4 linked regions of the Arabidopsis thaliana genome follow. The protein of the gene in region 1 interacts with the protein of each later gene in a biochemical or structural test. Each region holds a gene or a part of one and is shown in the gene's direction. Other genes may lie near its edges. The genes, in order: SNF4, AT3G55840, AKINBETA1 and KIN11.

Evidence for each region.
Region 2: the proteins of SNF4 (region 1) and AT3G55840 form a complex in vitro, tested with the Arabidopsis thaliana proteins (one study listed by BioGRID).
Region 3: the proteins of SNF4 (region 1) and AKINBETA1 form a complex in vitro, tested with the Arabidopsis thaliana proteins (one study listed by BioGRID).
Region 4: the proteins of SNF4 (region 1) and KIN11 form a complex in vitro, tested with the Arabidopsis thaliana proteins (one study listed by BioGRID).

Annotation. Positions count from the first base shown.
Region 1 is NC_003070.9:2,897,763-2,907,211, reverse strand, and holds SNF4 (sucrose nonfermenting-like protein), read left to right. Parts: upstream 1-2,349; 5' UTR 2,350-2,999; coding exon 3,000-3,124; intron 3,125-3,271; coding exon 3,272-3,359; intron 3,360-3,792; coding exon 3,793-3,969; intron 3,970-4,250; coding exon 4,251-4,373; intron 4,374-4,500; coding exon 4,501-4,560; intron 4,561-4,770; coding exon 4,771-4,860; intron 4,861-5,040; coding exon 5,041-5,175; intron 5,176-5,339; coding exon 5,340-5,484; intron 5,485-5,772; coding exon 5,773-5,946; intron 5,947-6,333; coding exon 6,334-6,397; intron 6,398-6,484; coding exon 6,485-6,554; intron 6,555-6,746; coding exon 6,747-6,864; intron 6,865-6,968; coding exon 6,969-7,063; 3' UTR 7,064-7,436; downstream 7,437-9,449. Other genes in the region: AT1G09010 (glycoside hydrolase family 2 protein), read left to right, coding at 7,925-8,073, 8,312-8,450, 8,540-8,764, 8,849-8,907, 8,983-9,031, 9,142-9,372.
Region 2 is NC_003074.8:20,716,495-20,722,768, reverse strand, and holds AT3G55840 (Hs1pro-1 protein), read left to right. Parts: upstream 1-3,902; 5' UTR 3,903-3,952; coding exon 3,953-5,239; 3' UTR 5,240-5,635; downstream 5,636-6,274. Other genes in the region: LAF3 (Amidohydrolase family), read left to right, coding at 1-85, 179-253, 327-458, 537-652, 729-903; EPC1 (Nucleotide-diphospho-sugar transferases superfamily protein), read right to left, coding at 5,636-5,796, 5,902-5,972, 6,069-6,232. UniProt on the Arabidopsis thaliana protein: Positive regulator of basal resistance.
Region 3 is NC_003076.8:7,202,988-7,210,352, forward strand, and holds AKINBETA1 (5'-AMP-activated protein kinase beta-2 subunit protein), read left to right. Parts: upstream 1-2,679; 5' UTR 2,680-2,730; coding exon 2,731-2,928; intron 2,929-4,178; exon of another isoform or gene 4,179-4,236; coding exon 4,237-4,347; intron 4,348-4,435; coding exon 4,436-4,611; intron 4,612-4,692; coding exon 4,693-4,855; intron 4,856-4,937; coding exon 4,938-5,252; 3' UTR 5,253-5,509; downstream 5,510-7,365. Other genes in the region: LARP1a (LA RNA-binding protein), read right to left, coding at 1-304, 641-892; AT5G21222 (protein kinase family protein), read left to right, coding at 6,435-6,605, 6,778-6,840, 6,975-7,046, 7,218-7,325. UniProt on the Arabidopsis thaliana protein: Regulatory subunit of the probable trimeric SNF1-related protein kinase (SnRK) complex, which may play a role in a signal transduction cascade regulating gene expression and carbohydrate metabolism in higher plants.
Region 4 is NC_003074.8:11,126,553-11,134,714, reverse strand, and holds KIN11 (SNF1 kinase homolog 11), read left to right. Parts: upstream 1-2,609; 5' UTR 2,610-2,758; exon of another isoform or gene 2,759-2,906; intron 2,907-3,201; 5' UTR 3,202-3,204; coding exon 3,205-3,397; intron 3,398-3,526; coding exon 3,527-3,711; intron 3,712-3,805; coding exon 3,806-3,988; intron 3,989-4,083; coding exon 4,084-4,215; intron 4,216-4,312; coding exon 4,313-4,498; intron 4,499-4,573; coding exon 4,574-4,663; intron 4,664-4,748; coding exon 4,749-4,832; intron 4,833-4,915; coding exon 4,916-5,056; intron 5,057-5,192; coding exon 5,193-5,423; intron 5,424-5,708; coding exon 5,709-5,822; 3' UTR 5,823-6,095; downstream 6,096-8,162. UniProt on the Arabidopsis thaliana protein: Catalytic subunit of the probable trimeric SNF1-related protein kinase (SnRK) complex, a central regulator of cellular energy homeostasis, which, in response to seemingly unrelated darkness, sugar and stress conditions, activates energy-producing pathways and inhibits energy-consuming processes.

The DNA of each region.
Region 1 (9,449 bases):
CGAATATTTTAAGGTAACAACCAGTACAACCCACATCTGATGTACCCATTGCGAAGGACAAAGAGAAAGATGAAGAGGACAGGTCCATGTGAAATATAATAGCTTATTATGTTGATTTTACTTACAACCATTAAGGTTGCAGCATGGACCAAGAAATATAATAGCTTTATGATGATTTTAGGCAAGTTGCTGAACTTGATTCCTATGAAAAATGAGATGCACGCATGTCAAAAGTTCTTCAAGTGAAAGAAAAGTGCTATTTGATACCATCTTAGTTTTCTCTCTTCAGTTATTAACTATTTGTAGTAGTGGACTATTCGGGAACAACTCATTTCTAATGAAATTTTAAAGCTTGGCATTATGTAAGAACACATATATATTTCAGATTAGGTTTTCGTTTGACTGACGAGAAACAAAATAAAGAATGTGCAAGAAAAATTGGTATACAAATTATTTAACTATTTTTACAAAACTGTGTAATCTTCCAAACCTAATTTCAATGATATTATACTTCTGGTGACGTGAACGTTCTCGTAAAACAAAAAACAAAAATCATCGAAATTATACTTACGGACAAAGAGTTATGGACTATCTATTTTGGAAGGAGAAAAAGAGAACCATCAGAAATTGCCTACAAGAGAACCATCAATGATAAACTCAGATTTTGACTTTTGTACCCGAAAGAGAAAGAACCATCAATGAAACTGCTTGCGCGTTAGTCTCCCAATATTTTTCCCAGCTTTGATGTTTCCTTAAATTCCTTTTTGGGCAAGGTTACAAAGAACTAGGCTATGCTATATTGTATAATCTAAGCTTTTCACTTTGATTGATTTCATATCAAAAAAAAAAAGAAAGAAAGAAGGAGCATATGTGATGTAATTGGAGAGTTGTTTAGACTAAGAGAAAAATGTATTCAGTGGAGGCTAAAGAAATTCTTCTCGAAATCTGATGCAAAACCCATAACTGAAAGAAAAGAAGAAGAAAGAACTCTTTGAATTAGTTCCCGAGCCAAAGATCATATACATAACCAGAATTACGACGAAGGAGTTACGGATGTTTAGGACGAGAGCCAAAGATGTTCTAACAATATGTAACCAAATGAAGACTTTCCAAATATTAAAAAGAGCCCTTATGAGATAAAAAAAAAAAACTTTGTTGGCCTGTTTTTCAATGCCCAAATATAGCGATCAAGATTTTGAGATGAAAGTTATGACCATTAAAGGAGTATATATATCCAATTGTCCATACTAGCCAGCGACCGTGAATGCTGCCCAATAACCAACAAGCCAAAATGACCATTGTTTACAAATGTCTTTCTCATTTGCTGTTTTCCGACAGATAGAGTAAGTGTATATATAGAATAGTACTGAAAGAGAGGGCCGGGGGACTTATATACGTTTTGAGGAAAAAGATAAACAACATTAGAGTAAGAGCGAGATATATACACTTATATAAAGTCATGTCTATAAGAAAGTTCAAATCCAACTTAAAAATATATACTCACAACAAATAAAAGTTACATCACTTCGATTATTTAGAGTTTATAAAACTAATTAGAAACCGAACTCTTTTTTTCTTCAAGGTCGTGTTTTGGTTTTAGGCTTTTAGCCCTAATTTACAGGTCTTTCTAAGGCTAAATCTACTATAAAATGTAATTGCATGCCTAGGGTTCAAACATGAAGTCTCCTCTCCCTCAAATAATGTCAACTTGGAAGACAACACGATTGTCTCCCTGTATTACATGTCTACCGAGAATAGATGTACAATGTAATTTCATGGATTATGTTTAACCCGATAATAAATTGGTGTGGGATGTAATGATTTATTTTCTTTAATTTAAGAAATTATAAGAGTTGACACAATAAAAATTAGAGAAAAAAAAAACATGGCTTTTCTTTTTACTTTATTTATTTACCCTGCTTCAAAACACAAGAGAATAAGAGAAAAGTGTATTTTGAAACGTTTTTGAATGTTAGTTTGGTTTTGTTTGATTTATAGTACTGTTTAACATCAGAAAAGACAAATGAGTTTAAAAAAATAATACCAAAAAAAGAATTTACTAGATACAATTTTAAAGTGGAAATATTTTTAATAACTTGGATCCTCGTCTAATTTATTCATAACATTTATGTGATATATTATATATATAGGAAATGATTTATTAGATAGTTGACTAAAACTATATATTAGATGCTATTATTTGCATAATTCATATAGTTATTTATTATGAAAAAAGAGAAGAATAATCAGTTATGTAAAAGTAGAATTTTTTTTTTTTTTTTAAATGTTATCGGAAAAACTGTATACAGTAATAAAAAAGAGAAAAAAAAAAAAAACCATATCTTTGTCGATGGATTAAAAACAACATTTTCATTACGCAGCGCTTCTTCGCCCTCAGATTCTTCTTCACCTTGAAAGACCATTAACATCATTCCTTGCCCAGATCCAAACAATGCCATCTCCACTCTCTCTATTTAGGGTTCTCTCCAACTTTTCAAATCCCTAATTCTTGCTCCCTCCCTTCAATCAATTCCGATCATCATCGAGGTCTCTCTACTCCCCGAATTTAAAGATCAGAGCCGCGACTTCCTCTGCCTTCTTTTCCTCGGAATTTTTCAGCTACGTTTTCCAGGTGGTGTGTATTGTCAATCAGTTGACCTTTGCTTTTGTAGCCAGATCGTTCGTGCTTTGAGTTTAGGGCTCTTTTACAAGGTTTCGTGTTGGTGGAATTTCTCTACCTAGGTTTGGGGGAAGAGTTCAGTAATTTCGTTGTAGATCGTGATTTGGGCTTTTAGGGTTTCGGTTTACTGGTTGCTGGAATTTATGGTAGCGTTATTGAATTCGGACTCTCTGCATGTGTAAGCGTTGAAGTTTGAAGTTTCACCGGGTTTTGTTTCTTCTGCTGAAGAGTCGAGATTATTTTACGCATTAAGAATCGATTCAGAAGGTTTTTAGGAATTAGTTTCTGTGGATTGTAACTATATAACTACTGGGAGGGGATGTTTGGTTCTACATTGGATAGCAGCCGTGGAAACAGCGCTGCCTCAGGGCAGCTTCTTACTCCGACACGCTTCGTGTGGCCTTATGGAGGTAGAAGAGTCTTCCTAAGCGGATCTTTCACCAGGTGAGATGACTGAGCTTGAACTAGGATAGTTTACTTTATATTTCAGTTAAGCTATTTATCGGGGTTTGTGTAGAGTATGTGCTCTGTATAGTATCTATCGGGGTTTTGCAGTCCATGGACTGATTTCTGAAATGGGCATTTGAACAGGTGGACAGAGCATGTGCCAATGTCACCGCTCGAGGGCTGCCCTACTGTTTTTCAAGTCATTTGCAACTTGACGCCAGGATATCATCAGGTTAATAATCTTGTACTCGACCTGTATCATGGCAAATTCTTTGTTAATTAATCCCTGCAGAAGCATTTATGTCCTTGTAGTGATTTAGCGATGTCCATAATTGTGCTTCATTTAGTCTCTGGATACTTAACCTATGCAATGAGAATCTTATATACCTCTGTCATATTTGTATGACTGTGGCTGAAAATTGCAAATTTCCTTGCTAATTGATCAAAATTTGACTTTATACATCACCATCCACATAACAAAAGTTGGGGTCTTCATGCTGTGTGATACCTAAATCACTTCTTTTAATAAAGGCTACAGTGTGTGTATAGAGATTCATATATTTTGGCAGTTGGATGTACTATATATAACAAGATTTTAATTATTACAATGTGAGATGCTTAAGAAGCCACTAATGTTACATTTATGTTATTTCATTCTCATGCAGTATAAGTTTTTTGTTGATGGGGAATGGCGGCACGATGAGCACCAACCATTTGTAAGCGGAAATGGTGGAGTAGTGAATACAATATTTATAACTGGGCCAGATATGGTTCCTGCTGGTTTTAGCCCAGAGACACTGGGCCGGTCGAATATGGATGTGGATGATGTCTTCCTGCGAACGGTAAGGAATCTGACCTTTCCTTTTCCAAAATGCAGTGTTTATTCTCGCTGCTTGATGGTTCAGGTTTCCCGAGTTGCTTCCAGTTTGGTTTCTTTAATTTTGATCCGTGGTTGGTATCCTTCAGATTATTTTTAACTGTTTGTCATTAGTTCAAGTATAATTGATTTTAGACCATTTTATCTTAATGTATAAAGCAGGATTCCTTAAGTTCCATTAAATTGTCTCTGAGACTACATTCAAATTGAGTTTCTGACTGCTTTCACATGGTGATTATATTGTAGGCTGACCCGTCCCAGGAAGCTGTTCCTAGGATGTCGGGGGTTGATTTGGAGCTTTCTCGTCACCGCATATCGGTTTTATTGTCAACCCGCACTGCATATGAGCTGCTCCCAGAATCGGGCAAGGTTTGGTTTCTTTTTCTTTTTGCTTGATCATTGATAATTTCTGTCTTCATGTCCTATAGATTATCAGTTAAGAATAACCTTTGGCTTCTTACTCGGAAATTGTCTAAGGTGATTGGAAATTTTACAGGTTATTGCATTGGATGTTAATTTGCCAGTGAAGCAAGCATTCCATATACTCTATGAGCAGGTTTACTTTATTTGCCAATTACCCTTGTGTCAGCTTCTGTTCTTGTTAGGATGTTCATCTCTCTGTCTCTCACCGTCATATAAACATTCTAATATTGTTGCATCCAGACCCGGAAAGGGAAGGAAGTGAAACTTAAGTGAACAACATTCGTCTAATTATACTTCGAGATTGTTTGGCTTTCTGGTTTTTGCTAATTCCAGATGCTTTCAGGGAATCCCTTTGGCTCCTCTTTGGGACTTTGGAAAAGGCCAATTTGTTGGAGTTCTTGGTCCACTAGACTTCATTCTAATACTGAGAGAGGTTGGCTTCTATTAAAACTGTTCTTTGCTAGAGCATTCCATCGAGTTACTATTGTATATTCTTAGAATTTCCAAGACGGAAGTCTGGATATCTCATAAATCACATAGTTTTAAATGTTTTACTAGCTTCTCAGTATGAAATTTCACTCTTGAGTATAATAGCAAATTTGTAAAATTGCAGCTTGGAACTCATGGATCAAACTTGACAGAGGAAGAGCTTGAGACGCACACAATAGCAGCCTGGAAAGAGGGGAAGGCTCATATTAGCCGGCAATATGATGGAAGTGGGAGACCATATCCTAGGCCACTTGTTCAGGTGAGATTTTCACAGTTGATTTGTATCGCTGTTACTACTAACTTTCTTCTGTTTGCGTAATCTCTGAACATAGCCTTATCCTAGAACTTTCTATTGCATGTTATATTGAAAAGAGCTAGTAGTATTTCTCTCTTGCTATTAATGGTTTTATATATGGCTATCAGGTTGGACCCTATGATAATCTGAAAGACGTTGCCCTGAAAATTTTGCAAAACAAGGTGGCAGCTGTTCCGGTTATATATTCTTCTTTGCAGGATGGTTCATATCCGCAGTTACTGCATCTTGCTTCGCTATCAGGCATATTAAAATGTAAGGTCCCTTCATTTGTGAATAAGACACTGATAAGCGCGCCAATTTGGCATTTCTCACTTTTTAATTCATGACGTGCATATGATTCTGCTATTTCCAAAATTTTCCCACTTCTTCATTTCTCCAAATTCTGTGAAGGGATGGGATCTTTAGGAGGGAGGGAAATTAGAAACTAAAGTTGCAATTGACTTTACCAAACTTTTTACACAGTTTTCCCTGTTAATAATTCCTTTCGAAATTTATGCCTTTATCAGACACTTAAGCTCTAAATTAAGCATAATCTTCCAGGTATATGCAGATACTTTAGACATTCGTCTAGCTCTTTACCTATCCTTCAGCAACCCATTTGTTCAATTCCCCTGGGTACGTGGGTCCCTAGAATCGGAGAATCAAGTAGCAAACCTCTCGCTACATTGAGACCTCACGCCTCTTTGGGTTCTGCGCTCGCATTATTAGTTCAAGGTAATCCTTTTTCTTATCTTGTTGCAGCAACATCTTATTCAAAGCTCATCTGCAACTCAGACTATCAACCTCTACATTACAATCAGATTTTCAGTTTTAAATATTTTGTCTAGATGGTAATATAATCAAGTAGCTGAACACATGGGTATACTCAAGTCAATGCAGACCAACAAACCAACTTTAGATGTTACGACCACTTTTATTATTTTTATACAGATGTAATTGCTGCAACATGAGTAAACTAACGAGGTTTAAAAACATAGAAACATTTTTGTCAATCTTAAAGCAGATATATTTATAGAATTTCTCGTGATCTTTTCCCTGGTTCCTCATAGATGGAAATGAATGAATGAGTCATGCTTAATTTATGTTTCCTGGTTATTACAGCTGAAGTCAGTTCAATTCCCGTAGTGGATGACAACGACTCGCTTATTGACATATACTCTCGAAGGTAAACCTCTATCCATCAATCGACATGATGTCTTATGCATTCCATCTTTGACGTCCTTGTGTTCTGATGATATTTGTAATTGGCCAGTGATATAACTGCTCTGGCTAAAGACAAGGCATACGCACAGATTCATCTTGATGACATGACAGTTCACCAGGTAAACCTCTCATCAGAAACCAAGATCCATCACATGTCTCATCAAATTACGAGTTTTACTTAAATGTAACCTGCCTATCTATCATGGAAATTGCCTCGTTTCTGATTTATTTGAACATACATCTTTACAAGAATGAAAGAAGAGATGAAACGTTATAATAAAGTGGAGGATAATGTGTTTGTGGGTTTTCAGGCGCTACAGTTGGGGCAAGATGCGAGCCCGCCTTATGGAATCTTCAACGGGCAGAGATGTCACATGTGCTTGCGCTCAGACTCTCTTGTGAAAGTGATGGAGCGGTTGGCGAATCCAGGTACACACTATCTCCTATATACAATCTTCAGCTTTGTTGCTTGACACAGGAACATCAGATGAGATGTAACTGGGGTTTGGGTTTGTGTATATAAAACACAACAGGTGTAAGGAGGCTGGTGATAGTGGAAGCAGGGAGCAAACGTGTTGAAGGTATCATTTCACTGAGCGATGTTTTCCAATTCCTGCTCGGTCTTTGACTCCCACAGCAAAACAACCTCCCCAACCTCTTTTTCTCATTTCCCCTCAATCAAAACTACCCAACAATTTGCTTCTTTTTTTTTTTTTTTTTTTTTCTTCTTGCAAGGAATTTGTAAATTTGCTACGAACCTCTTTCATCATTGTTTTCTTATTATTTTTGTTGTTTTAGTTGAACGGGTTTCCATTCTTGTGAAGATATTGGCTACCGGAATCTTTTACTAGTAGCTTCCCTCAGCTTTTTCTTCCCTCTTTTTTTTTCCATTTTTTTTTGGTTTTGAGTTTTTCACTTCATCGACTCGAAAAGCAACACAGCATGAGAAGGCCGTAGAAGTGTAGGACAATGCACTGGTTGACAAAGATGAATTGTCACCAGCGAGAATAAGCCTTATGGTTGAAGTTTGCAAGTAATGATTAATACAATTACAATCATAACGAATCATAACCTTAAGTACAATAACAAGTAAAAAAGTACAATGACAAGTAATATTCAGTAATGGTTAATCGAGTGATTTGATCATAGCATTATCGATTTCTTTCGGATTTTTCAATAGCTCTTAAAATATATCAATAAAAGTAATACAAAATTCAATCAAATCTAGTGACACTAAAAAAAAATAAAAAAATCTAATGTCATTTAAAAAATATTTGAGCAAAAAAAATAAAATCTAATGTCATTAAAAATAAGTGTTAAATAATTGATGACATAATAAGTGATAGAGAAAAATGTATTTACTCTATTTACTTATTTAGGCTTATCCAGACAATAAACGTTTTCGTTTTTCCAGTCCAACAAGTTTCTTCATCAACTCTCTCAACTGTTTTCGACATAAACATTCCAGAAGCTGAGATCAGATACTAAAATGGCGGAGATCGGGAAGACGGTGTTAGATTTCGGCTGGATAGCGGCGAGATCCACGGAGGTCGATGTCAACGGCGTTCAGCTCACTACCACCAATCCTCCGGCCATCAGTTCCGAATCTCGGTGGATGGAAGCCGCCGTACCTGGAACGTAAGTAATAGTGTTCACTTTCCTCTTCGAAAATTTGAAGCTATTAATAATCAAAGTAAGAACAATTGTTTAAGTATTTGATTTTGTTCGAATGTGTCTGTCAAGTTTGGATTTTGCCTTGATAACTAATAATTAATTTTCTTCTTCTTATGAATCAGCTTTTATTTATGTAAATACCTCTAATTGTTTCATGCATGAATGAGAGATTTTACTGATATAGGATCTTAATTGTGAACAGTGTATTGGGCACATTGGTGAAAAACAAAGCAATTCCGGATCCTTTTTATGGACTTGAAAATGAAGCGATCACAGATATTGCCGATTCCGGAAGGGACTACTACACTTTCTGGTTCTTCACTAAATTCCAATGTCAAAGGGTGGGCCACCCTCACCCTCTCTCTCTCTTGGTCGAAATTGCTATTTTTCTTGTGTCTTCTTTTCATATTTTGTTTTGACGGTTTTGCAGTTATTGAATCAATACGTGCATTTGAATTTCCGTGCCATCAACTACTCTGCACAAGTGTTTGTAAATGGCCACAAGACAGAGCTTCCCAAAGGGATGTTTCGCAGACATACACTTGACGTCACTGATATTCTCCATCCTGAGAGCAATTTACTTGCTCTTATTGTTCATCCCCCAGATCATCCTGGGACTATACCTCCCGAGGGAGGCCAAGGTGGTGATCATGAGGTACACCTCCTCCCTCCTTCTCTCTCTCTTGGAAGTTTATATCACTCTTCTTTCTTTGCGTTGTGATTGGACTATCCATGACAGATTGGAAAAGATGTAGCTGCACAGTATGTGCAAGGTTGGGACTGGATTTGTCCAATAAGGTTATTTTTTTGTTACAAGATTTAGCTTATCGTATAGTTTAAGGCATTTCTCTCTGACAACATTTTTTCTTCTAGGGACCGGAATACTGGCATATGGGATGAAGTGTCAATATCTGTCACCGGGGTTCGTTTAGTTGGTTTACATTGTTTTCCAGAGATGATATCAATCAATATTCTCCACGGAACGTTTATAGTCATCTTCTTACTGAATGTTATAAATTGCTTTTATTGCAGCCTGTAAGAATAATTGATCCCCATTTGGTCTCAACCTTCTTTGACGATTACAAGAGAGCTTACTTGCATGTGACTGCTGAACTGGAAAACAAAAGCACATGGAATACTGAATGTTCTGTGAATATTCAAATAACAGCCGAACTCGAAAACGGTGTCTGTTTAGTAGAGCATCTTCAGACAGAGAATGTTTTGATCCCTGCTCAAGGACGTATTCAGCACACATTTAAACCAGTGAGTGGTATTGTTATCGTATATTACTTGTTACGACTTAAATTACTTATGGCTCTGAATCTGTGATGGTGGTATTG
Region 2 (6,274 bases), on another chromosome or scaffold:
TATAGGCGACAAAGCAAATGACATGATCCTTGACATGTACGAATCCGTTGCTGCAGCCAATGGAGACCGAGATAGAAGATTTAGGGTGATGTTTGCTATTATAAACCTATTCCTCTGAGCTATTTGCTACGTCTGCTTCTTCTGTCTGTACTTAATATCTCTGAACTCCTGGTCACAGATAGAGCATGCCCAACATTTGGCACCAGGATCAGCCAACCGGTTCGGTCAACTTCACATTGTTGCTTCAGTTCAGGTTAGTTACTTCCCAGCATTAAGCATCTGGCTTAAAACTCACTTTCTTGATCTAACTTAATGCTCGTGAACAGCCAGACCATTTGCTTGATGATGCTGATTCTGTTGCTAAGAAGCTCGGTTCTGAAAGAGCCGTAAAGGAGTCTTATCTATTCCAATCTCTCTTAAATGGCAATGCACTCTTGGCACTTGGCTCAGACTGGCCTGTATGTTTTCGAAAATCTCTACACATATACAATGTTTTTACATATAGTCAAACTTTGCTTCGTTTGTTTTCCCTCCAGGTAGCAGACATTAACCCGTTGCACAGTATCAGAACCGCGGTTAAAAGAATACCTCCCAAGTGGGATCACGCTTGGATTCCATCTGAACGCATCTCTTTTACGGATGCGCTGATTGCGTAATAACCCTCTTCTCTAAGTCTTTCTCCAACATTTTCTCAAGCATTCATCATATTCTTTGTTTGAAAATCGCAGGCAGACGATATCAGCGGCAAGAGCAGCGTTTTTGGATCATCACTTGGGGTCTTTATCTCCAGGAAAACTAGCAGATTTTGTCATATTGTCAACAAATTCTTGGGATGAGTTCTCAAAAGACGTTTCTGCATCAGTGTTAGCAACGTATGTAGGAGGAAAGCAATTGTATCCATGAATCATGATGATGCAGTCTTTATCTAATTAAGAAACAAACTTTACACACTTAGAGTATCTGATCATTTATCTGTTTGTCTAGGCGTTATCAATGTACATATGTATGACATCTGGCTTATCAATTAGATATGCATTTCATATTCAAGGAAAATGTTTGGTGTGTCGGCCAAAGGAAATAGGAAAAGGTGGTTGTTGGTATTTGTATTTATTGGGATGCAAAAAGGTAATGTTGGTGAGTGGCCCAAGCACGAGCCAATGTCATGAACGCGGAGAGAAAAGAAAACCAATGAGCTGTACTAACTACGTGGCTATCTGGTTCCAGCCATCGACTCGGTTTGGTTCCACCACGTGGCTCTCTTAATACTTAGGACAGCCCCATGTGTTGCTTTTTTAACGCGCGATATCACCTGATTGGTCAGCCCCCCGGTCCTAGTTAAAAAGTCATCATGTTCCCTCCACGTAATTTCTGATGATTTTTATTTTTCACGCGAGAGGAGAACCTACGCGTTTGATCTCAAATATCCAAATTCAGATGCAGTTTATTATACAGCTATTTTCCCACGAGAATATATTTCTAGAAATTACCAAAATATAAATCATTTGTTTACAATGTAAAAGAGCATAAAAATTATAGTTAAATATCACTTCTAGTTCTAGTCATATGCTAACATAGTGTATCAACTCGAATGTTTTGAAAATGTTTAAAGATATTGATGAGTTCTCTTATGTAAATAAATAGTTTGGGTAATCACCTCACCGGACCGTTATACTTTCTTTAGGAGATAATGTTTGGAGAGAGACACAAGTATTCAAGCAAAGAGACAGAAATGAAACTTGGAAAGAGTCATCGTAAACGTGAAAGGAAGATAAGATATGTCCTTATGAGTAGCTACAAATACATCCATCTCATTCTCCTTTAGCTGAACTCACACAATGCACATGATGATACAAAAATACACCTAATCAAGAATATTTTATTCATCTTCAGTTTTTAAAATATTTCCCGTGAACTTACAACATATGTTTATCAATTCTTTTAATTCCCGTGAAACCAAACCTTCAAAATATAAGGTTCCCGTGAATTTATCTTCTTGTAGATCCCCTGAAATTAGAACAAATATATGTTCCAGAACATGGAGTTACCATGTATAATGTTTTGTGACATATTTAGGTAACCAAAACCCACACAAAACAGGATAATGCGAAGAGTATACGTCATGAGACGAATGTGTGACACCAACTTATGTATGTGAATGTGTGTACGTGTATAGAATGGAATTGTTGAACTGTCGACTATACAACTAATCTTTGGTGATTAATATATTGTCTCGACGACAGGTGGCTGATTGATCTATATGATGATTTCCAATTTCGATATTGGATTGTTCAATCGAATACGTTCCCATTCGTTTCTATGATCACCACAACTTTTGTCGATGACTTATGTTTAGTGTTCACAAATCACAAACAACAGCTAAGCAATGATTTCCTTTATTTGCTCTCAATCCAAAGTCAAGGTCTCCAGGATTTAAGGAACATTAATACTCCTATTTTTGTTTTAATCTTTAATAATTGTTTTATCTTCTATTGTCAGTAAGTAATTGTTTACTGTAATATGTTTAGTGCCTTCAAGTATGGTTAGAGAGACAAGGAACTCAATAATTTTTATTTTGCCTTTACTTTTCTAAAAACTTAAACCAATTACACATCCTTTTTATGTTTTTCAAACTACTCCTCATATTGAAGTAATCATAGTCGAGATCTAACTTCTAAGGTGTCGACTACACTATAATGTCTACTATAAACTACGATACAAATTAAGTATATGGTTCGAGAGTCAACTAATAACAAAAACCTAGATATTATTATTAGTTGGGATAGACCCGTTTTTAGGTTTTCAAAACTAAAGATTGGATGCTTACTTTTTTTTTTTTTTTTGTCATAACATATTTTAAAATATAAAGAATTTGATAAAGTTTAGTTGGATAGAATTTTGAAAATTTCTCTATTAACTAGGTAAACAAATTTGGTATAGCTGCATATAATTTTCAAAGATCTGTTCTCTTTAAGTAGATACGATAAGAACAAATAACTTTCAAAGATTGAAGAAGATAGGGATTAAATTAAATGTTTTAAATAAACCAAATCAATAGCACTATTATTTTCATTGTAAGTAATAAATAAAATGACACCGACAAAAAAAAAGATTGATTTTTATAATTGAAACGTAACATTCGGAATGTTGAAGTTTACACAAACGGGATTAAGAGATACGGAAAAAGGAAGACCAAAGTCAAAGGCTAGGCTAGGACCCGTTCCACTCTTTCTCTCTCTGTCTTCCCCAAAGTCCTAAAACGCCATCCAAAACGGATTCCGACCAAACCTCATGTGCCCTCTTATTTTATTCCTAATTTAGTGTCCAATTAAATTCATTATCGATTCTACTCCTTATTTTAAACAAAAATCTAATTCATAAGTATATGTATTTATGCAGTGGTAACTATAAGCTTTCAATAAATTGAGAATATAAGTTTATTTGAATTTTTTTTTTTTTTTTTTTAATAATTCTTATCCAACGAATCAGTTATCCAGTGTTTATTAACAAACTTTATGTTAATGTAGGTAAAAATGATACAATATCCAAAAGTACTTATAGTTCGAATAAGGAAAAAAGAACATTTCTAATTTTCTATATCAAGAAAGATTTTTGAATAATTCCCCACCATTAGGGAAAACGTATCGTATAACTGATTGCATTCGAGTATACACAAAATAGTTTCCATTTATTCCAAAATAATAGAAAGAAAAATAAAACCGACACAAAAATGCAAAAAAGACAGGAAACAGCCGTTGTTGTACGTTGACTTTCAAAAACTATGATCTTTGTTTATCTCTAATTTTCCGCATAATGACGTCTCCCTTCTTTTTCCTATCCGTTTCCTTCACATCTCTCTCTTTATCCTTCCTATATATATCGCAAACGTTTTTCCTCTCATTCTTAAATATATTCATCAAATAAACAAAAATCTCTGTATTTTTTTTTAAAAAAGATGGCTGATTTGGATTTACAGAGGAAGATGGTATCTCCGAAGCTCCACGTCACCATTCCTGAGCCGTGTAAGCTCTCCTCCGTCTCTTCTCCAATCTCCTCCTCTTCTTCCGCCGCTTGCTCTGCTTACGAGCTTTACCTCCGTTTGCCTGAACTTAGAAACCTCTGGTCCTCTCTCTATTTCCCTCACTGGATCTCCGAGCCCGTTCTCAAACCAGCTCTTCAAGCTCTTGAGATCACTTTCCGGTTAATCCTCACCGTTGCTTCTGACACACGTCCTTACATCAACCGCCGCGAATGGATCCGACGGTTGGATTCCCTCACTACCAGCCAGATAAAAATCGTGGCGGCTATCTGCGGAGATGAAGACAACTACGAAGAGAACGTATCGGCGGCTCCGGTCAGCAATGGCTGGAGCTCGTTGAGTTTGCTTTCGGAGATCGCCACGTGTCGTACATCGGAGAGTGTTGGACAGAAGATCTTGTCTACGATCGAGAATGAGATGCGTTGGTGTAAGTATACGCTCGGTTTAGGAGAACCAAACCTCGCCGGAAAACCGTATCTTCAATACGACGCCGTTTGTCTCCCGGAGGAGCTACATAGCCTCAAGAACAATCCTTACGCAGATCACATCGAGAACCAAGAGAATCAAATGCTCTACACTAGTCATCAGATTCTTGAATCGTGGATTTACGTTTCTGTGAATCTTTTATATAGAATCGAATCGAGAATCGAAGAGGGAAAATTCGAAAAAGCTTCTTCAGACGTCTACTTGTTGGAGAGAATCTGGAAGCTTCTATCAGAGATTGAAGATTTACACATTCTTATGGATCCTGAAGATTTCTTGAAGGTGAAGAAACAGTTACAAATCAAATCGACGTTTCCAAACGACGCATTTTGTTTTAGGTCAAAGGGCTTAGTAGAGATGGCGAAGATGTCCAAAGAGCTGAGACAGAAAGTGCCAGCTGTTCTTGAGGTGGAGGTGGATCCCACCGGAGGTCCGAGGTTGCAAGAGGCGGCGATGAAGCTTTACTCGAGGAAAACAGAGTACGAGAAGATACATTTGCTTCAGGGAATGCAGGCCGTGGAGTCTGCAGCCAAGAGATTCTTCTTCGGATACCAGAAGTTGGTTGCAGCGATGATTGGGAATGCAGAGGCGAATGCAAATAGAACGGTGGCGAATCACGAGTCCTATGATTCACTGACTCAGGTGTTTATGGAGCCACCGTATTACCCGAGCCTAGACGCCGCAAAGACATTTCTGGGAGAGTTCTGGAGCCAATTGTGATGCAATGGAAGATATTGACACAACTACTTAACAAACACTATCAACAGATGTAACACTACTGAAATTTTTGGAAGCATCTAACGATCAGTGTATGAATATATGTAACTCATTTTTTTTAGCACAAAACAATATTTTCACAACAGCAGATGTTACAAATGGTACAATGAGGGTACAACATACACTAGGCTACTACTATATCTCTTTATAAGCTTCTACGAGAAAACCCCATTAGCCACCGATTATAAACTTTTGCTCTCTATCTTCCTCTTACCGTAAAAGTAAGATCAGTTCTGTTTTTAAGTCTTACTTGGCGTCAAACCCGTCCATAGCTAGAACGTGAAGAGTAGTAACCAGTGGAAGAGACAGCGGAAATGTACTGCCATGCAAAAGCAGCAATCACCAGAACCATAAATTGCGGCTATCCACGGCTTTCATGGAAGTGTATACAAGTGGCATTTTCCCAAATTCTGCCACAAACCGGTTTACGCAGTGTGTTCTTTTTTCTGTGTGCCCTCCTATGCTACTAATTCCAGTTGAACCGATTTCATATATTTTACCTACAAAAACAGGCCAAAAGAGGAGGATATGCTCTTTATCATCAAAGATTATCAGAATCACAAGGCAATACATGGTTCTCAAAGTAGCCTGCGATTTAGAATTACCTTTAACCCATATAGCAGGAGCGTTTGTAGCATTTGCGATGAGGAATGACATTGCAATATCTTCACAGTTCCTGTTATTAAATTAATCTCACACTTAGGTGGGGTACACTTTAATCACATTCAGGAATACAAAAAACAACATATAGGTAATGAAAGTGATAAGGAACCTGTTCTTTGTTGTGAATTCCCTGATTGATGCTGGCATGCTATTTGTGTAAAGGCTGAGGTATTTTTTGTGGAAGAAGGCTGCCTTTGAGAGTACCATGCTATATGTACCACTCCACCAAACAGACCACCATCCACTGTAGGTGTAGTAATTGGCTTTATCATTCTGCAGAAAATTGAAGTCAACTTTCAGAACCAATTCAAACAC
Region 3 (7,365 bases), on another chromosome or scaffold:
GCAACACAGGTGGAAGAGGGGAAGCTTGAACTTGCTTCTCATTGCCAGACTCAGTAACAGGAGGCACAGGAACCGGGTAGGGAGGATAAGGTGCATATGGAAAATCTGGACCAGCAGCATGTGGCAGAGGCACCATAGGTGGAAAAGGAGGTGGATGATACGGTACAGCATGCACGAGATAAGGAGGAGGAGGAGGACCATTCTGGTTGCTCCTCGGACCTGGTTTTGAATGACGGCCAGATGGATTCTTGTGTCCAGGATTAGCCTTTCCACCACCCTTAGATTTCGCTTGACCAGTTACGGCCTAAACAACAAAACAAAAGAGCTTTTATGAGCAAAGCTAAGGCTACAAATTCAATGCTAAACAAAAGACTTTCCAATCACACTATAAACCTTTCAAGCCAAGTAAAAGAAAATCACGACAAATAAATAAACGTCATAATCATCATGCATCAAATTCGATCAAAGATTCAATATCACCAACTTAAACCAATCACGAACACAACTGATATCCAGTATCAGATAACTCTCAGCTCTACCAAGTACCACGCACCATTACAATCGGAAAATTAATACTCAATTAAAGCATAATCAAACAACATTGACAAATCAACGGAAAGAAGTCGGTTGTTTGACTAACCGGAGTAGGGATTGGGATAGACGTCGGAATGTTTTTAGACGGCGGAGCAGGTGCAGGCGCCGGAGGATTCTTAGGACGCGGTTGTTGGGCAGCGTCGGCGAGTGCAGGCCACGAATGAGCTCCCATTACAGGAGCGTCAATAGTCTCAACAGGAGAAGTCGTTGTTTTCCACGGAGACTTAGTCCCAATACCACCTTCACGGGTGATCAATTCTCGATCATCGGCCACTGATCCTTCAGTCTCCGCCATCATTAGAAACTTGGAAAGATAAACAGAATCAAAACAAGGAAGCGATTCAATTGGATCAAAAACAGAACGAGGATTGAAGGATCAGATGGAGAAGACGCAATGTGAGGAAGAGAGGTTGAAGAAGGAGGCAAGTGTGTGTGTGTGTTTTGGTGGCGACACTCTTTAAGGGAGGAATAAGCGAGGATGAAACAAACAGTGAAACGTATAACCCCAAAAACCCTAGTTACTTTCCTCTTTTTTTATATGTATATGTTTATTTTATATAGCAATTTCCTATTTTTCCTATTTGAAATTTGACAAAAAATAAGAATAATATTCATGATTTGTTTAATTACTAGTATTACAAATATCCTCTAATCTGGTCTTTATCCTTCGTAATTAAAAACATTCAATTTATTTCTTTTTAATTTTTGTTTTGAGAAAACATCATTTATGTAGGGTTTTAAAAAAATTTAAATTAACTTTATAAACTTATTTTCGTTAGACCTATTTATAACGCGTTTATTTATTAACCTTAGTTTATGTCCTTAAATAGATGTGTTAGAATTTGTGTAGCAATTCTAAGTTATTTTGTACTTTTAATGTGATCTAACAAACTTTTGTTACAACTAAGGATTAGTAGTTGGTAAAAGAGAACGAAGATAACTAGTTATCGCTCTTATAATCTCTTTATTGTTTTATTGTTTAATTCGTTTAAGTTATTTAATTATAATATTTAGTCTTTTAAAAATACGTGAAAAATTATCTGAATTGTTAATATACATATAATAATTTTTATATATATGATGGATATTAACGATGATTTCTGAGGTGAAAACTATTATCTTAATTTTTTTTTTGGGTGAGGCTATTATCTTAATTCTTCAATATGTGAACCTACGAAGAATAAAGTAATTGATGAAGATTTGAATGAATTTTTGTCTCTGAAAATGACATTTGAAGGTGTCTGTGGAAGATTTAGTGTCCACTAGATAAGATTTCTAAACAAAAGGTCAATATATTGATGAAAATTGAAGTGATTGAAATCAAGTTTTTCCAATGATAGTACACTCGTTTGAAGAAAATATGAGGTTGAATCAAAACCTTAGTTCAAAGTAAATGATAAAGCAAAAGCTGAAATCTTACAATTTGAAAGTGACCAATATACAATGCGAGAAAGCAAAAGAAAAAACAATGACTCAACCTATAAGGAAAGTGCATGACAATCACTCATGGCTTAGTGAATAGTGACCATCGCCTTTTACAAGTTTACATTGGCTTTGAAACCCTCCAAACTTTTCGAAACAATCTTTCGACCAATAACTAGTTTACGGGACTAACCAATACAAATCTTGGAAAATGATGATTCTTTGACCATCTCTATTCTAACCCCACCTATTGGAGTTTAAGGCCTTTTCATCGTCACGATACGCATACTATGATCACTGGCTCTAGCAAGATGTTAAGGCACACAAATCGGTGGCAAGGAGGTGACTGGCCCTTGTGTCATTATCCTTCTCAAAGGCATTGAACCAACTTTTTATTCACATTTGTTTATTATATACTAAAAGAAATAAACAAAAAAAAAGTGGATAATTATAAACTTTTGGACGCCAAGTCACTCGTTTATCCATTTGGTACGGATTTTAATGATATCTCTCTCTCAAGAGCCCCTTTTATGCAAAATCTCTTTTTCGCTACCAATGGCATTATTCGTAATTAACTTCTAACTTGAGGGGCGTTTCATTATCTCCTCCTCGTCGTCCTCCCTCCATTTTTCTTCACGTCTGGTTTTCTCTCTCTTTTCCTCTATCTCTCTCCTCTCTTTGTCTCTCTCGCTTCTGTGATTTGGGCTTTTTCAGATGGGAAATGCGAACGGCAAAGACGAAGACGCCGCCGCCGGTAGCGGTGGTGCAGATGTTACCTCGTCCTCGGCGAGATCTAATGGCGGCGATCCTTCTGCACGCAGTCGTCACCGTCGTCCTTCTTCAGACTCTATGAGCAGTTCTCCTCCCGGAAGTCCTGCTCGATCTCCATCTCCTTTCTTATTCGCTCCTCAGGTTCCCTCTCTCGAATATCTCTCTCTGTTTAATCGTTGAATTTGATTTCTGGTTTTGAATTGAATCGATTGAAACATTCGCCCAAAGAGATAATAGTAAGAGAATCTTTTTGATTTGTTTCGTTGAGTAAGAGAATGTTCGTTCACTTGACTTTTCATTTGTTTCACTAATTGTGAGACACTTTCTTCATTTAGATAGGATCCAAGTACAAAATCTCCAGCCTTTTTTTTATGAGTGAACTCTACTTGTTCACTTGATTTGTGTTATCCTGTTGGTTCTTGAGAATTTGTAATGTAGATTCTTGTTCTTAAAGCTTTTTTCTGAGTTGGGTTTAGAGATTCTGTACTAGAGAATCTCTTTTATTTTTGTGTTATCTTGGTTCAGGTATCTTGAAATAATGCATAATGTGGAAAAGTTTCTACCTTTCTTTAAGATGTTGTTTTGGTTTCCTAGCTATTTTTTCTTTATTTTCCAGCCGGTCTCTAGTCATTTACTGGTCGCTCATGATTCTTGATGTCCCTTAGTGAGTCTTTGTGTAATTTATCTTTGTTTCATTGTGAAGAGGGCAACTTTGCAGACTAAGTACGTTTGTGAATGAAATCTTTTGTATAAAGGAATTAGACTTGACTTGGTTTTGTTTGGTTCTTGAGAAGTCAAAAACTCTGGTAAATGACAAGGTAGCTAGTTACTCTTCCTTAGTTTTGGTGGAGAGAGAGAGAGAGGCTTAGATCACCTTATTGCTATGTCTTTTCCTTTTGGTGAGTTAAAATCTTGTTAATCATACTAGAGAATCTGCTTTAGAGAAGGTCTTATTTGTCTTCTGATTATGCCTCCATGCCTGGTGTGGAAAAGCGTATGGCAGTCAAATAGGATGATTATTGTCTCTCTAGGTTTTTATGCTGATTTTGACTTTCCTGCTGCTCTCTGGTCATTTACCAGTTACTGATACTGTTCTGTTGATTTGCATGTCGCATTGTGAGTCTTTTGTGTAATGTCTTTTGCTTTCATTTTTAAGAGGAGGGAGGGCAAGCTTGTTCTTTTCTTCGCCCTTTTTGAATTTAAACACGCAGAGCTTTTACTTGAACGAATTACAGATTTTGGATGTTTCGTCATTCTTCTCATTGTTCTTAATATGTGAATAATTCATAAGATAAGTGAAGGACAACCTTCTAAAATTGACCTTGTTATCAGGTTTTTGTGGGAATAGTGAAATATCTTTTGCTAATAAGGTCTTGTCTGTACTCTGTATGCGAGTAAATTTCTGAGTCTACTGTTGCTATATTCATTTTCGACTCCTTTTCTTTTCAGCCCACATTGTTATTCCACGTTACATCTTACAACATTTGCTCACCTATGCGTCACCTCTTCCATTGTTTAGGCTTAACATGTGTACCTAATGGCTGCATTTCGTGTCGGATGGTAGATATAATGTTTTGACATTCGCAAATTCTTCTTGCACATTGGTTTGTAAGATCTCACGGCTCAGTGTTTATGTGGATATTCTCAGGTTCCCGTGGCTCCATTGCAGAGAGCAAACGCCCCTCCTCCTAATAACATCCAATGGAACCAATCACAGAGAGTTTTTGATAATCCCCCAGAGCAAGGAATCCCTACCATCATTACATGGAACCAAGGAGGTAATGATGTGGCGGTGGAAGGATCATGGGACAATTGGAGATCAAGGTATAATTGACTTTGTTTCTCGTGGACCCTCTCTCGAGATTTCGTGATATATGTTAAAAACAATATGTTTACATTCACCAGGAAGAAGCTGCAGAAATCAGGGAAAGACCACTCGATTCTCTTTGTCCTTCCATCTGGCATATACCACTACAAGGTGATTGTGGACGGTGAATCCAAATACATCCCAGATTTACCCTTTGTAGCAGACGAAGTTGGCAATGTCTGTAACATTCTCGATGTTCATGTAAGTTACTTTCCCACCTCTTTTTTTCTCATGTTAAATCTATCAATCAGCTTAACAGTATCTGCAATCATTATGCATGCAGAACTTTGTGCCAGAAAACCCAGAAAGCATAGTGGAGTTTGAGGCGCCACCATCACCTGATCATAGCTACGGTCAAACCCTACCAGCCGCAGAAGATTACGCGAAAGAGCCACTGGCGGTGCCACCTCAGCTTCATCTAACACTTCTTGGCACTACTGAAGAGACAGCCATAGCCACAAAGCCTCAACATGTGGTGCTTAACCATGTGTTCATAGAGCAAGGATGGACTCCTCAATCCATAGTAGCTTTGGGTTTAACCCACAGGTTCGAGTCTAAGTACATAACTGTTGTCCTCTACAAACCGCTCACACGGTAACCCTAAAAATTCAGTGCCACATTGTTCTCTCTCTTTCTTTCTTTTTCATCTCTCAATTATGTGAAAACATGTTCTTTGTTCATAGTGACTAGTGAGTGCCCAACATTTGAGTTTATTAACCTCTTTCTTACCTGGTTTGTGGTGCTTGTGTACAAAGCTTCTCTCATTGTAACGATTGTTGTTTTATTTTCTGCAAAAACTGTAAAATACATTCGCTAATAATGGCTATAACAAGCTTATCTGCTAGCAACCAAACACATAAATCCTGTTTTTTTTCTTCTTCTGACAAAACGTTTGCGAAAGTGACAAATTTTTGAAAATAATCTTTCTTTTTGGTATTGGAAAAGGCTAACCAGTTTGAAAGTGTACTCATAATAAATCCACGTCGTCTATTTGATTGAAAATTTTAATTTGGATAAGAAAAAGATAAAAGAGAAATAAGGTGAGAAAAAGTGAGCCACACGATGGAGTATGGCGGAAGAAGCATCGACCGAGTAATTGAGACGCTCTGTTTCCAATTACTACTCTCTCGAGCTCCTCCGCTCTGCATTGTCGCCGAGAGTTCCTTTCTTGTCCGACAAACTACTTCTTCTCCTTCGATAAGCCAATTCTGCGCCATAGATTTTTGAAATCTACTGCCGGAAAGGCTGCATGCGATTTCAACTCCCTTTTCCCGGGACAATTCGCAGGTGTGTATTCCTGAAGCTCCGTTGTACTATACTACTATTCCATGTTTCACTTCGAACGAAGAATCAATCATTCGGTAAATTGGATAATTTGGTCACTTGTTCATGACCTGTACATAATCAAATGTGTAGGAGGACGATGATGAATTTGTAGCATGAACTATCGACGTCATGATTCTAGAAATTTATGTTGGAATTAAAGGGCCCAATGAGAAACATACCCAACAATTTATGCTGTTGCTGAAAAGCTTTGCCATCGCATTGTGGATTTCAGCTGTTTTTGCCTTGTCTTTATCACATTTGACGCCATAGTACTATTTGTGTGTATTCTCGTATTTTACAGTTTCTTTGTCCCTTTTGCATTAGTTTCTGTGAATTGAGAAAAGAAACACTCTGTTGCCTGCACTGTTGGGTTCTTTGGAGATAGAATTCTAACATTGACATTACATTTTCATGAAACAGCTTGTGAAGAAGATCAAGAGGTGAACTCTGAGTGATGAGTGAGCCAAAGGTCAGGCGTTGGGTTGGCAAATATGAGGTTGGAAGATTGATCGGTGAATGTAATTTTGGGAAACTGCGGAGTGCTGTTGACACAGAGACAGGAGACCCTGTGGCTTTGATGATCCTTGATAAAGACAAGGTTCTGAAGCATAAGATGGCTGAACAAGTAATTCGCTTTCCTAATCGGCATTTAGTTTTTTCATGCCTCCTTTCTTGTCCATTGATATGCCCATGTTACATTTCTTGAAGTAAAACGTGGTTTCTAAAAGCGAGATTCACAGATAGATCCGTCTTCTGTCCAGAAGTATGATGTGGGTCTTTCCCGTTTGCTTTTACAGATAAAGAGAGAAATTTCTATTATGAAGCTGATCAACCATCCAAATGTAGTGCAGCTTTATGAGGTCTAATTCCATGCCCCAATTTTTTTTCTACGTGTCTCTATTTTCCTTTGATTAACTAGAAATTAACAGCTCCCTGGAGTCTAAGCAAATATGTTGAAAACTAACATTTAATGAAATGATTGATATCATTCCAGGTTTTGGCGAGCAAGGCGAAGATATATATTGTCCTAGAGTTCATCAGTGGTGGAAAGCTTTTTGACAAGATTGTGAGTTTTCCCTTTACCTCCCAAGGGCTTTAACTTGTATCTAATGCATCCTTTGGTATTTGAATCATGAACCAAATGCCCCATGCTCAGCTAAGAAGTTCCTGTATCTTACAGATTAGATAATATATTATTTTGACTTTTATCCAATCCATTAAATTTAAACTTGTGAAGAAAAATGATGGGCGCATGAATGAAGACGAAGCACAGAGATATTTCCAGCAGCTTATCAATGCAGTTGATTACTGCCACAGCAGGGGAGTGTACCACAGAGACTTAAAGGTACAAGGAACATTTTTGGTAACTCTTAGGCCAAGTTTGC
Region 4 (8,162 bases), on another chromosome or scaffold:
TTTCCGGGCTTTTTATTTCGAATAAACAAACTTATAATTTATAATATCTCTGAAAAAGAAAGAACATATGTATGACATGAGTCAATCAAAATTTAAATAACCACTAAAACTAAGTTAATTTAAAATAAAAGTTTTGTTGAACCAAAAAAAAAGGAAAGAAAAAGTTTAAAAACAAAGAAATAATCCAATAAATTGTTTAAACTTATACTAAATAAAAATATAAAATCAGAATACTTCAAAGATGTAAGGCACAATTAGAAAACTAGATTTAGGTTTTTCAATTCAAATTTTTTTGTAAAACAATTTTCATATTAACAAAAATATTTAACAAAACAAATATCAAAATATTTATGTAGGACTTTTTGTCCGATCCGATCCTAGCCGGACTAAGCTCCAAAAACATTTAGTCTAAAAGAGCAAATTTTTCAAGACATATATATATTTAACCCGAATTCGCTGTTTTTAGAGTAAGGCCAGGCCAGCATACGAGCATTATCTCTAGTTGACATGCCTAACTATTAGGCTCAACTTTCCACATACATTTATAAAACACTAGTGTTCTAAAATACGGCTTATACGGTGTATCTATACTGTACAGTTGGAAGCAGTACTGTATTATGGTTATACAGTTGTTAAATACAATGAAAGCTATATACGAGTATATACAATGAATTCTGTGTAAAAGGTGTATTAAAAAAAATGCTCAAAAACAAAAACTATGGTATTTTATTGGCAGGAAATTTATTTGGAATATTTTAGGCAAAAAACAATTTCCAAATAAGGGTAAAATAGTCATTAAAAATTTACTGAAAGTAGAAATGAAAATGTCAAATATGAAAGGGTATAACTGAAAAAGGTAGTGTGAAAAGGGCATTCTCAGCAATTATTCTACATTTGAACTATCTATTTTATCTTAATAAACTGTTTTAATTCTATAGACTACATCCATCTTATTGATGATATTTAAATTTTAAATAATAATTCATATACTTTTCAGTATTTAATTTAGTATTTCCTTAAACCAAATTTCAATCTTACATATTCAATTTTGCAATACAATTTAAATATCTATTTTATTATATAAAAATACAATTTAATTCGATTCCATACAATTCATATACAATTTGATTTTGCAATACAAATACAATTTTATTCTATACACTCCATCTTATTGTGTTAGTTTTCCTTCTTAGTTAAGAAAATTTTAAGTTAAATTTTTCGATATAGAAATATAAATTGGTATATGTATTTGTTTTTGTTAAATTTCCTATTTCTTTTAGAAAAAATATTTAAAAAATCTCGATTTTGCAATACAATTTAAATATCTATTTTATTATATAAAAATACAATTTAATTCGATTCCATACAATTCATATACAATTTGATTTTGCAATACAAATATAATTTTATTCTATACACTCCATCTTATTGTGTTAGTTTTCCTTCTTAGTTAAGAAAATTTTAAGTTAAATTTTTTAGATATAGAAATATAAATTGGTGTATGTATTTTTATTGGTTAAATTTCCTATTTCTTTTAGAAAAAATATTTAAAAAATCTCGATTATGCAATACAATTTAAATATCTATTTTATTATAATACAAATACAATTAAATTTGATTGTATACATTTCAAATACAATTCGATTTTGCAATACAAATACAATTTAATTCTATACACTCCATCTTATTGTTAGTTTCCCTTCTTAGTTAAGTAAACTATAACTTATTTTTTTTAGATATAGACATATAAATTAGTATATGTAAATATTTGTTTTTGTTAAATTGCCTATTTCTTTTAGGAAAAAAGTAAAAAAAAATCCGACACAATATCAACATATGAACGATTGACTTGTTACGTGTCACGATCAGTTGAGTTATTAACTTTAAAAACTCTACTTTATATAATAAAATGCGTCTGAAACTTCTTAATTTATCCGCTTTATCATTAGCACGCTTTTATATATAGAAAACTAGATTTTAACCCGCGGTATACCGCGGAGACAATTTATTTTTTAAAGTTACTATATATAAAAATTTGCAAATTATATTTATCTATAAAATATTTTTATTTTATAGTTTACGATTGTTATTAAGTAACGTCCTGTCAAACCCGTCCCGCCAATCCGTCCCGTAAAAAAAATTCACTGATTTTATTTATGATATGTTTATGAATCATTGTCTAAATATTTTTTAATTTTGTAGTAATTAAATGCTATCTAATATCTCTGCGGTTTGATGATTATAATCGAATTATTATAGTCATGTAGAAAAACAATATCAAAAATGATAATTTTGTAGTAATTAAATGATATTAAATATTTCGGAAGTTTTATTTTAGTAACTAATCGTGTAGTTAATGTGGAAAGATTTTGGGAAGATTGTCAAATATTTAATTTAAAGATTTTCTTTCTAATTATCAAAAACAATTATTAAATGCGAGTGGCAGCCACTGTAAATAAACTCCAACTCTAGGATTTATTTCACAAAGTGGCTGCAAAAATGTATATATAGATCATAAAAACAGTAATATAAAAATTTTAAACCTTAAAAAACTAGTTTTTCAAACAAAAACAGAAAATGGGCAAAAAGGCCCTAATTTAAGGGCTTGCAAATGGCAATAAATGTTTATCTGGGTTTTGTGGTTTCTTGATTCGTCATTACCAATTTTCACCATGAAGACTTAAAAAAACCTGACTCAGCTCTGCGTCACCTACGAGTTGGAAATCTGACTTCCCCAAGAATTTCTTCAGATTACATCGTAATTTACAATTCTGCCCTATTTATACCCATCAATCTGATTCTCCTTGTTTCTGTATATTTCTTCGCTCTTTGTTTGAACAATTTATCTGGGTTTTTGATTCTCGGATCTACTCCAAGACGGTTTTCGAAATTAACAAGCTTTTCAGGTAAATTGACTTTTTTTTCTTTGTAAAGGTTTATCAATTTTGTCTTCTAAACTCAAACTTGTGAGTCTCTTGTTTGGTTTCAGACCAAAACCACCATTACAAAGTAGTTATGTCGGTGGTTCTTGTCAGTTTTCTTACAAGCTTATGGTTGGTTTAGATTAGATTTGATGAAATGAAAATTGAGTTGAAGAATGTTTTTTTTTATTTGAGCAAGTTAATATGTTTACTGATGTTTTTCTATAGAGAAGTTGCTAAGAGAGCTTACTTATGAGTTTGATGTTGAATTGGGACACAGGAAATGGATCATTCATCAAATAGATTTGGCAATAATGGAGTGGAATCGATTTTACCGAATTACAAGCTTGGTAAAACTCTTGGAATTGGGTCTTTTGGGAAGGTGAAAATAGCAGAGCATGTTGTCACAGGGCATAAGGTTGCTATCAAAATCCTTAATCGTCGTAAGATCAAGAACATGGAGATGGAAGAGAAAGGTATATACAAGCACCGTTACTTTTAGCTTTAGTGGTTTCTAGAACAAAAGCTTTGATAATCAAATGTTTCTGCTTATTAGGTTTTAGTATGTATTTTTATCTTAATGTATGTATATTTCTTCTTTACAGTGAGGAGGGAGATTAAGATTCTACGGTTGTTTATGCATCCTCATATTATTCGGCAGTATGAGGTAATAGAGACCACGAGTGACATTTATGTTGTGATGGAGTATGTCAAGTCTGGAGAGCTCTTTGATTATATTGTTGAGAAAGGCAGATTACAAGAAGATGAGGCTCGTAACTTTTTCCAGCAGGTTTGTTTTCTCTTTACCATAACCAGTGTGTTTGTAGCGTATCATGTCATCTTTGAGTTTGAGTGTTGTTTGTGTTTGACTCATATCCGAATAGATAATATCTGGTGTAGAGTACTGCCATCGTAATATGGTTGTCCATAGAGACCTGAAGCCTGAGAATTTACTATTGGATTCGAGGTGTAATATTAAGATTGCAGACTTTGGGTTGAGTAATGTTATGCGGGATGGTCATTTTCTAAAGACGAGTTGTGGAAGCCCCAACTACGCTGCTCCCGAGGTATATAGTTTAGTAAAGTTACTGAATTGTTTTTCACCTATGTGACTATGTCTCGTTTCTCTTATGAGTGTCTTATCTCTTACTTCTTGTTGTAGGTTATATCAGGTAAATTATATGCTGGACCTGAAGTAGATGTATGGAGTTGCGGAGTTATATTGTACGCTCTATTATGCGGTACTCTTCCTTTTGATGATGAAAACATTCCCAACCTTTTCAAGAAAATTAAGGTACTGTACGTTATACTTTGATTCAGCTAAAAGACTCTTCTTAAATGGATTCATATGTATGTGAAGTAACTTATCAAGGTGTTTTTTTTCTCTTTAGGGTGGGATTTACACTCTTCCAAGTCATTTATCATCTGAGGCTAGAGACCTGATCCCAAGGATGCTTATAGTTGACCCGGTGAAACGAATCACCATTCCTGAGATCCGTCAACACCGTTGGTTCCAGACTCATCTCCCTCGTTATCTTGCTGTCTCTCCACCGGATACAGTAGAGCAGGCTAAAAAGGTTGGTTTCAGTGCCATTTGGAGATTAATAGAGTTCACTTGCTGTGATAGTAACAATATCTCTTATGTTTTGCAGATCAATGAGGAGATAGTTCAAGAAGTGGTTAACATGGGATTTGATAGAAACCAGGTTTTGGAATCTCTACGCAACAGAACACAAAACGATGTATGTAGTTTCCTGTCTCTAATGCTTTTAATCCCCGAAACTAGTTTCCAATAGTCACTGAAATGCCATTTGCTCCTTGTACCAGGCTACTGTTACATACTACCTGTTATTGGATAACCGGTTCCGTGTTCCAAGTGGCTATCTAGAATCCGAGTTTCAGGAGACAACAGTATGTGTTTTTCTTTCCTCTCAGTAGATAGCTTTCCAACATTTTTGACTAACATGTTCACCTTTTCAACGTTACTCATCTAGGACAGTGGTTCCAATCCTATGCGCACACCTGAAGCGGGCGCTTCACCTGTAGGCCACTGGATTCCTGCACATGTGGATCACTACGGGTTGGGAGCAAGATCACAAGTCCCTGTTGATCGAAAATGGGCTCTTGGACTTCAGGTTTGTTCCTGATTACTGATTCTTTTTGTTCCTCACCATAAAGTCTTCTGAATGCAACACACAATCAGATATCTGTACTCTTTGCCTCTACATAGCCAAATCGATAATCATTCTGTTACCTTGTTGTTTTGAACAGTCTCATGCGCATCCTCGTGAAATCATGAATGAAGTTTTGAAAGCTCTTCAAGAACTCAATGTGTGTTGGAAGAAGATTGGTCACTACAACATGAAATGTCGATGGGTTCCTGGTTTAGCTGATGGTCAGAATACTATGGTCAACAATCAGCTGCACTTCAGAGATGAATCCAGCATCATTGAGGATGACTGTGCCATGACTTCACCCACTGTCATCAAATTTGAACTTCAGGTAACTATAAACTCACACATACATTTGTATCAACAACATTCCTTGGAGAAAATAAACAACTGCCTAGTTCGGTTTGTTAGGGATATGAATCGATCAACGGGGTTTACATTCGTAGAATTGTGCTGGAGCAAAGACTAAGATCCTGATGTTGTTTTATCCCACTAGTAGTAGTTCAACAAAACTAAACCAGCTAGGACATAGACTAAAACCTTCTTTAGAACTTGAACCAACTGTTTTCGAAGAACAATTATACACTTTCTGAGTTCACTTTTGATTTTGAAACAGCTATACAAAGCCCGGGAAGAGAAGTACTTGCTGGATATACAGAGAGTTAACGGTCCGCAGTTTCTCTTCTTGGATCTATGCGCCGCCTTTCTTACAGAGCTTCGTGTGATCTGAATGTTTTAACCATTTGTTGAGACATTTTTTTTCTTTCATGTTCAATGGTTTGTAATAGTAGAGAACATAATATAATATGTGGGTGCAGTGTTTACTTTGCCGGGTTACTTTTATATACCTGGATTCTAAGTTAAACTCTACTGTAATAGTAACTATCCTTTCTTCTTTTTGATGGTTTTTAAGGTTTGATCATGTGTACATAACTTAGCTGTTTCATTCTAACTATTGTATTTCTCCTCTGATGCCAATTTTATACAACGTTTATATCAGACACATTATACATGTCATACCTAAAAACATTGCACGCAGAGTCCATCAAAATTCCATTTCACAAAATTCGGCTACCCAACTTAAGTCCTTAGCATCAATACAAGATGTGGAACACGATATTAATACAGAACATTGGAGAGCTACTTTGTGTGGACAATGCTTCTTGCAAAAGGAGTAAATAGGTCGCCGTCGGACAATAATATATCGGGCTTCAAGGATAAGTCCACCCCAAACATACATTGAATGTGTAGGGTAACACTACAGTACTCATCACACATAAAACCGCTCCTTCGGATTTATTTTGCTGATTTTTCATCATCAGTCGGTTCGGACCGCAAACTTCACACCAATACATCGTTGTACTTATCTCATCCCCATAAGAAAGAGTGAACATATGTTTATCATGCTTATACATTACCTTATGAGGTAATGTAGCACATTTGAAACACAAAGAAAAGTAGTCACACTCAATGCAATTGAATGTTTCCTTTCTGGAATAATGTCCTAGCTCTTTGCAAACTGAAAAATGTCTTCGCTTCTCTCCCGGTTTGGTTGTTAGGAATAAAGGATGCAAATGACTTGGATGGACTAGTGGCTCAGAAATCTTGGCGCATTGCATGTGTAGCAGAAAACAACATCATTCTTTACTACATTCATAGAAGAAACCAGCTTTACACAACCAAGGACAAGCAAAACATGTATCCTTATGATAGTCCATAACACCGTCATAAATTTCTGCCACCTTCGCAGAAAAAGTGTGTATAGCCTTCTTCTCCTGGTTGCCTAAATTTCTGCCAATTTAAGGAAAAACACTTCCACTTGTTATTCGTGGGCCGCAAGACTTCTCCAATCACATGGATTATTCCTTCTTTAAAAGTTACTTGTGCTTGAGGGCAAACTGAAATAAGTTTCTTCAACTTTGAATTTTTGAGATGACGAGGGAGAATATATTGGGCCTATGGGCTTAGTCGGTTTTGATATTTAGAATAGGTTAACTTTATGCTCAAGTTGTAACCTATATATAAACCAAGCAATGTAACCTAAAACCCTAAGAGATTCAGTTTATACAAACAAGAGTTTCTTGACATGGTATCAGAGCAAAACCTAAACTACTCAAGGGTTTGTTCGATTCTATGATCTAAACTTCCGCTAAAACAACTCTGTTTCTTATTTTCTGTTTTTTAAAACTATCTCACAAAGGAGAAAATCATGGCCACGAATTCTGCTACGTCGTCGGCTCTGATAACCTCCACCACCAATCGCCGTACAATATCTCCATACGATTTAACTTCCGGTGAGAACCCCGGAACCGTGATCTCCAAGCCTTTGTTGCGTGGTCCAAACTACGACGAATGGGCCAACAACATATGCTTGGCTTTGAAAGCTAGAAAGAAGTTCGGTTTTGTCGACGGTTCTATACCTCAACCACCAGACGACGATCCCGACTTTGAAGACTGGATTGCTAACAACGCGCTTCTTGTCTCTTGGATCAAACTCACGATTGAAGAAAAGCTCTCTTCGTCCCTATCTCACATCAATGACTCTCATGAACTCTGGACTCATATTCAAAAGAGATTTGGAGTGAAAAACGGCCAGAGAGTTCAAAGATTGAAAACTGAATTGGCAAATTGCAGACAAAGAGGTCTTGCTATCGAAGCATATTACGGCAAACTAACTCAGCTGTGGGGGAGTCTTGCCGATTACCAAAACGCAAAAACAATGGAGGAGGTTCGAAAAGAGCGAGAAGAGGACAAATTGCATCAGTTTTTAATGGGTCTAGATGATACCATCTACGGAGCCGTTAAATCAAATTTGCTTTCACGTGTTCCTTTACCAAGCCTAGAAGACGCTTACAACGCTTTAACTCTGGACGAGGAATCCAAAAATCTAAGTCGCACTCATGAAGAAAGATCAGATGGCGTCAGTTTTGCTGTTCAAACCAATTCTTCTAGGAATTTTTCTGACAACAGAGGAAGCTCTGTTTCATGTACCATCTGTGGACGCACCGATCACATTGCCGACAACTGCTTCAAGAAAATAGGCTATCTAGATTGGTGGGAGCACAATCCG